Linked DNA regions of Sus scrofa. The protein of the gene in region 1 interacts with the protein of each later gene in a pairwise test. Links are inferred from orthologs where the notes say so. Each region holds a gene or a part of one and is shown on either strand. Other genes may lie near its edges. The genes, in order: RABL6 and SPINK7.

Evidence for each region.
Region 2: the proteins of RABL6 (region 1) and SPINK7 interact in binary tests that used the Homo sapiens proteins (3 or more experiments, as listed by UniProt). The link is inferred for Sus scrofa from reciprocal best matches to the Homo sapiens genes RABL6 and SPINK7.

Annotation. Positions count from the first base shown.
Region 1 is NW_018084833.1:984,993-988,058, reverse strand, and holds the end of RABL6 (rab-like protein 6), read left to right. Parts: coding exon 1-217; intron 218-509; coding exon 510-681; intron 682-1,499; coding exon 1,500-1,558; intron 1,559-1,662; coding exon 1,663-1,863; 3' UTR 1,864-2,322; downstream 2,323-3,066. UniProt on the Homo sapiens protein: May enhance cellular proliferation. May reduce growth inhibitory activity of CDKN2A.
Region 2 is NC_010444.4:149,610,070-149,614,353, forward strand, and holds the start of SPINK7 (serine protease inhibitor Kazal-type 7), read left to right. Parts: upstream 1-1,301; 5' UTR 1,302-1,547; coding exon 1,548-1,725; intron 1,726-2,527; coding exon 2,528-2,553; intron 2,554-3,212; coding exon 3,213-3,337; intron 3,338-4,284. UniProt on the Homo sapiens protein: Probable serine protease inhibitor.

The DNA.
Region 1 (3,066 bases):
AAGGCCACATCGGGGCGCAGCTCCCAGGACCACAGAGCCCCTCTGGTCGGGTGGCACCAAGCCCCCCACTGAGGGCTCCTCCCGAGGGCACGAGGACAGGAGGGACAAGCAGGAGTCCTCAGAGAGCGACCCCGAGGGGCCCATTGCCGCCCAGATGCTGTCCTTTGTCATGGACGACCCTGACTTTGAGAGCGACTCAGATACTCAGCGGACAGCGGTGAGGACTGACCTGGGCGCCCGGACAGGTGGCGGGTGGGTGACGGTGGAGAGTCAGGTCAGCCCACGGGGCCTCGGCCGGGCTGTCCCATGGGGGCCTGTAGGTAAGGCCCAGGCCTGTCGCCTGTCCCGGGGAAGGCACATGCGGTGCAGGGGTGGCGGCATCATGGCTGCCACACTCAGGCCATTGTCACTCTGGGCGAGCCCACAAGGGGAGGGTCCCCTCCCTGCGGGGTCATGTGACGGAGAGCTGGGGCCGGGTCTGGCAGCTGACCTGCCCGCTTCTTTTCCAGGGGGAGTTCCCCGAGCGAGAGGACCTCTCTGATGGGACGGACGACGACGCCGGCCCTGTCCAGCCGCCTCCGCCCGCCAAGCCCCCTGCCCCCACCTTCAGGCTGAAGAACGACGCTGATCTCTTTGGGTTGGGGCTGGAGGAGACCCGCCCGAAGGAGAGCAGCGGGGAAGGTAGCGGGGGGCTACTGGACTGTGGCCCGGCAGGGGCCTCTTTCTGACCGCCTTCCCTGTCCCTTTGTACCTGGGCCCAGAGCGTGGGGGTGAGGCGAGGGCCTGGGCAGCAAGGACGTCCCGCAGGGACAGAAGCCCCGTCCCAGGCTCTCCTCGGCCTGCTGGGAGGCAGCTGTGTTTCTGACGACATCCCAGACTTGCGGGAGCACGAGGCTGCAGGCCACGACTGGGCTGGGAGGATGGCAGCTGGGGACGACTGACCTAGGGGCCACACCACAGGATGTGGTGGCATGGGCAGTGCTGCTGGGAGCTGGCCGAGAACTCTTCTGGGCCCCCAGTCCGGCCCTGCGTTCCGGCCCTCCGCGGAAGCAGCTGGCCTGGCTTCCAGGCCTGATAAGGGCTTGTGGCTCCGTGTGGCCCTGGCCAGCTCCCTGGCTCGCTAGCCCCATCCCCACCCTCCACCCTGGGCCGCTTGAGCCCAGCAGTGTCAGCTGGGGCCTGTCCTGGAGCTTCCTTGTCTCTGCCGTGGAGAGGAGAGGACCTTCGCGAGCTGGTCCTGGTGCTGAAGCACGGGCCTCTCCACAGCAGGGCGCTTCTGCTGCCTTTGGAGCCAGGCCCCCCGGACCTGGCAGGGGCTGAAGCCGGGCGCTCTCTCTGGGCTGTGCTTGCTGGGGACCCGGCTCAGACAGGGCGATTAGAGGCCTCTGTCCAGTCCCAGGCTCAAGCCCAGGCCTCCCCTCCCCATACCAGCCCGGGAGGCCCAGACAGGGGGCCTGGCCTCCGGTCCAGGGAGCTGACCTTGTGCCTTATCCCTGCAGATAAGGAGGGCAAGGCTCCCTCGAGGGAGAAGAAGAAGAAGAAGAAGAAGAGCGGAGAGGTACAGCCCCGGCCCCGGGCCTCCCTGGCACCCGCCGGCGGCGTGGGATCCCAGGCGGGTTCTGCTCTCCTGGCACCCGTGACGCCGTGCTGTCCCCTCTCCAGGAGGAGGAAAAGGCAGCAAAGAAGAAGAGCAAGCACAAGAAGAGCAAGGACAAGGCAGAGGACAAGGGCCGGGAGGAGAGGCGGCGGCGGCGGCGGCCGCGAGGCCCGGAGAGGACTGCGGTGGAGGAGCTGGAGGCCTTCCTGGGGGGCGGGGCCCCGGGCGGCCACGCCCGCGGGGGCGGGGACTACGAGGAGCTCTAGTCCCGGCCGCCGCCGACCACGCCCACTGGGCGGGGGCGGGGCCTGCCCTGCGGGGAGGGGGCCGCGGGCTCTGCGGGCAGCCGGCCCCCAGCGCTTCTCAGGGATGGGACTGAGGCCGAGGAGGCCTGCCAGGCTGTTTACAGGGGTGGGGCCCTGCTTGCCCCCGGCCCCCCGCACGCGCGCACCCGGCCGGCTGCATGCGGGTGGCCTCCGCTTCTTGCTGCGGCTCGGCCAGCGCTGCGGACCGCCGGTCCCCCCGGCCCTCGGGGCTCTGCGTGCAGACGCCGGGCAGCGCTGGCACCTCTCTCGGGGGAGGCTCTCCCCAGGCATGGCGTCTAGCTTTGCGCCTGCACCCGAGCTCGGGCGTGCGCACAGGCCGGGTCAGAGGCCCCGCACTCTCATTTCCTCTCACTCTCCTCCACCACCACCCGGCCCATAAAGCGCTCCTGTTTTACTGCGTGTCTGTGTGTGCTTCTCCCTGCCGCTGGGCCCCTGCCCAGGTCGGACCAGCCCACCGCCCCCTTAGCCCCAGGGCAGCGCGGGCAGGCAGGAAGGTCCTGAGCTCCCTGCCTTCAGGGCGCCGAGCCCTTTCTCTGGGGGGGTGGCCCACTGCCCTTGGCCTGGGCAGCCTCTGGCAAGCCCAGGCCTTCGCGTGCCAAGCCCCATCCAGGGGATCCGGCATGGCCGCCGTCCTGTGCGCTGGGGAAGCTCCCACCTGCTCCCCTGACCTCAGCCCCGCAGCCCCACCCCCTCCAGCTGCCGGCAGGGCTCCGCTCCACCCACCACTTTACAGTTGCCATGAGAACTCCCTCCGGAGGCGGGCACACTGCCTGCAGGCGTGGGAGAGGGGCTGGTGGCCAGGCCTCCCCCTCCCCAATTCCAGTGCGGAGAGAGCTGCACACCCAGGCGGCAGCAGGAGAGCAGTCACTGAGCAGCTGCTGGGGGTCCATAGGGTCCCCATGAGCCCACAGCCTGTGAGGTTGACTGTCTTTGCGGTGGCTACTTAATGTAGGGGCCACACCAACCTGAAACTTGCCTCAGGCCCCTTCACTGAACTCCAGTGTGGCAGGTCCTAGCCTTTGAAGCCAAGGGCATCAGTGGCCCGCCCCTCTGCTAAGCAGTTTCCTGGCTCAGCATCTTGTTTGGGTGGGGGCCAGAAGGGAGGCTCTCGCCATGCAGTTTATGAGGGGGCCGTGTGCAGAC
Region 2 (4,284 bases), on another chromosome or scaffold:
AGGGAACTCAAACATCCAGAACTTAACCTACACACCCAAAGTCACACGGTCAACATTTTTTAGAAGTAAGATTCCAAGTAAGACCCAAGGGACTCAGTGCACATGTTCTGTTTGTTTTTTTATCTGTTTGTTTTCACTTTCTAGGGCTGCCCCCTGTGCATATGGAGGTTCCCAGGCTAGGAGTCTAACCGGAACTACAGCTGCCAGCCTACCCCACAGCCACAGCAACGCAGGATCTGAGCCGTGTCTGCCACCTACACCACAGCTCACGGCAATGCTGGATCGACTCCAGGGATTGAACCTGCAACCTCATGGTTTCTAGTTGGATTCGTTTCTGCTGAGCCACGACAGGAACTCCTGCATGTATTCTTAACTAAGAGATTATACTCTTTCCAAACAGACGTGGGGATTTAAATTTTAAGGAGTCATGCAAAGTCATTTATTACTAGTTTGTCATCCTTTGTTGGTGCTATGCTTCAGAACGAACTACACAATAAGCCCATCAAGGTGAAGCTACGTCAACTGCCTGCCCCGGGGTTTTCATACATGTCCTCAATTCCAAGAGACAAACAACGGCCATCTGCACAATTATGCCTGGACGTTACAGTTACAATCTAACGTCAGCACCAAGAGCAGCCCCTGGCCAGTCAACAATAATAAGAACATCAGAGTGACAATTACATGCGGTACATTTAGAACAGACTTGGATGTAAATGATTCCAAAGATGCGAATGCAACTGCGGCTAGGTAGATCCCATCTGACGTGGCACGAAGCTAAGGCTCTGGTGTGGGCTCTCTGTGTGCCACCTCTTTCCTGTCCTCAAGAGACAAGGTGAGACGGAGCCCCGTAACCTCCACGATTACGCCAGGCGTTGCTTCTGAGCTGGGAAACTCAACTGCTGTAAGTGGAAACCCTCAAGAATGCGCCTTCATCTTGCCTTGAGACGAGCAATATTCCAAATCGTGTTGCCCCGTCTACTCGGAACCCAGGGAAGGCGAAGCAACCGTCAGTGACCGCCACACCGTGCAGCCTGAGTGAAATCAGCGTGTATTGTTTCCAGTCACAGAAAGCTTGGGATTACCTGGTGCCACCAGACAACCTGATCTTCCGAACTGACTTACCCAAGCGCACACGACTAGAACATGTTGATGCCGTTCTCCAAGTCTACAGATGCTCAGGCCACTGATCCCTCTACGTCCCTGTGCACCCCATGGGTTTAGTGCCTTGAAAATCAAACACCTTCGCAGGGGCCAAAATATAAACCTAAGTATAATCCGTCTGATTGTGGCTTAATCTCCTCTATCTCGGTGAAATAAAGTTCGCTCCTTTCACCTACTTCATCTTTAGGCCCAACAACCCGCATTTAGTCTCTTCCACTCACGGGGTTTAGGATTTTAAAAACAACAATCCCCGCCTCTAGAGCAGGCAGAAAAATACTTCTCGCCTCAAATAATCAATCTGTGGGTCAGATAGGAAGCAGCAATTAAGGGACAAGGACTGCACCATCACCCAGGGTGTGATACTGTGCTGCCAACAATGACTCTGGATGACCTCACAGGAAAGGTGGAGAAGCCAGCATCGCCTTATAAACAGGAGCCTTTCCCAGGGTCTGGCTGACGCTGCGGCTGTGGCGCCCCTGAGCAGCCTTGGCATCGCAGCCGTCATGAAGCTCGCCGGGGCTCTCCTCCTGGTCTGTACACTGGCCCATCTCTGCAGCTGCTCGGGTGAGTTAAGGAGGCATAGTGCCCTCTGCAGCCATTAAGCCTAGTTTTTCAAATCATCCCTCACGGGATGCCAGCAATTCAGAGAAATTTCTGGTCATGCGGCCCTGCCCTGGGAAGGGAGACTCTGACATCCTACCCGGGGTTGAGGGATTTGGATCTAGTGTATTCCCTTTCAAGGATTTTCATTTTCACGCGTGGAAACCAAAAGAAAAAAAGAGAGAACGAATTTTTTCCCTAAGTCTGTCATTACATAAGGACACTGGAAATGGCTGGTGTTATTAGATGCTCTTAAGGGCAATGATGCAGACAAGCCGGGGGGGGGGGACTCTCCACATCAAGGCAGAAAGGGGGAAATGAAGCACAGTTCTCCTACGCCCAGGAGGCAACGACTCTGACACGGTGAAAAGCTACTTGATAAAACAGACGTAACACCTTAGAGATGTTCCATTACATTCCTTATCCCAATCAGGAGGGAGGGACTATCAAAGACGGTGCTTCAGCCTCTTGGAAGTGGTGATGCAACACGTTCTTTCGCCTCTGACTCCAAAGACGACCAGAGACACAGGGAGCTCCAGAAAACATCTAGGGTCAAGACACGGAGGCAATTCAGATCATTTAGATAATTCTCCCACTTAAACCACGGGGCTCCCCGAATCCATGGGGCATTTGGCTTCCACAGCATCTGGATTTTGTGAGGACAGGGTAGGTGCTGAAACTCCGCCCCAGAGGAACTACCGAGTTCTGACCTGCAGGACCTCACCACTGGGCTTCCTTCTAACACTTCCCTTTGTCTCTCTTTCAGAAGCTGCTAGCCTGCCTTTGACAAAGGTGAGTAAAGAGAACGGCATCTGACCTTCAGTTCCTACTGACCGTCATTCAGTCAGCAAACCCTTAGGAAATCTGTATGTCGGAGTCACACAGGATGCTTGGGAGGGATTAGAGGGAAGGCGCACATCGGTAAGGAAACTGCCTCTGCTTCTCAGAAGGCAGCTGAAGACACGACGTGCATACACGTAAATAACTATAGCCACAAAACCATTCCAGAGTTAAAAAGAGGGAAGCTTGTGTCTGAGAAGCTGGTGACGTCTTCCCGGAAGGGACAGCATGCGAGCGTCGGGAGGGGGTTACTTTGGTTCCTCGCACGGGCTCTGGATTCAAATCCTATCCCTACCACTAGACTAGCTTCTGCATTATAAGCTCTCTTTTTAAGCCTGAATTTCCCTCCCGTGTAAACAGGGGTAAGAGTAGATCCTGCCCTATTCAGCTGTTCATGCTCAGGAATTGTTAACGGTGGGTACCAATAATAACAGAAATGGTGCTGGTGGCATTAGGGTCCTATTTTAACCACAGACGTAACGGTAACAGCATCTGAATACTGCAGAGCTCAGACGTCCAGGAGGGTATCTCTCTCCCGGGGCCACAGAGGCCAGGGCAGCCCAGCCCGAGGACCAGGAGGCAAGCAGGGCATTCTCTCGTGTCGGTTGCAGGTGGACTGCAGCGTTTACAGGAAGTACCCGGTGGTGGCCATCCCCTGCCCTATCACATACCTGCCTGTTTGTGGTTCTGACTATATCACCTACGGGAATGAATGCCACCTGTGTACCGAGAGCTTGTGAGTACCCCGCGGGGACAAAGGGGAAGCTGGGACAGGATCCCAGGGCAGTCCTCTCCTCTTTCCAGGAGCCTGTGTGACTCTCCACAAGCGGCACTGGGTCCCCCCAGAGCAGGTGGGAGAGAGAGAAAACTGGCCGCCTCGCTGTCAGGTTAGGGTTGGGCCACTTGCTCGGCCAGCTCGGCTAGTTCCTCCAGGACACAATCTCTCACTCCTGTCTGGCGACTGGCCGAGTCTAACCAGACCACGAGCGTTCAAATCGCTGTCCCCAGAGCCCAGACGATCTGCAGAGACAGGTCAGGCGTCACCAAAGAGGTGAAGGGGGTCACGGGGCGGTCTCCCACCCCGTGAGCTTTAGGTTATTTTCAGCAGTGGATTCTACGTAATTTCTCATTGGGCTTCTGAATCTCACGCTAGAAAATCACTGAAATCACTGTCCTGCAGGACTTCTAAGAGACCCAACAGCCTTATCGGATGCCTCTTAGATAAACTGTGCCCAGAGGGCCTTTTGCCTCCTCAGTGTCCCGGTGGCCACAGCTTTGGGGGTGGGGAGGGTAAGGTCACCACAGGGAACCTTCCCTCTTTGGACGCAAATAGGGGGGTGCAGGCTGGACCAGGATCTTCCGGGCGTGTTCTGTTTAAGTACTTTGTTTGGCCTGCAGCGGATTCCTGAAGAGAGTGTAATCAGGCAAATGTCAAAAGAGGCAGGGGGCAGAAAGAGGCAACTCGGCGTTCCTGTCTCCCACCAAGACCCCTTCGCCCCCTGTAACTGCCGTTAAGCCCTCTCGATGTGGCCCCTTCTCTCAGATCTCGTGCTTTCTCATCTCTGCGATGGTCTTAAGTTAAAACATCAGGTTAAGGCCTGAGCCTAGAAGGGCATAGCTAGGTACTGATTCCTATTCAGGAAATTTTATTTCACAAAGGGGAAGGTTTTTTTGTTTGTTTTT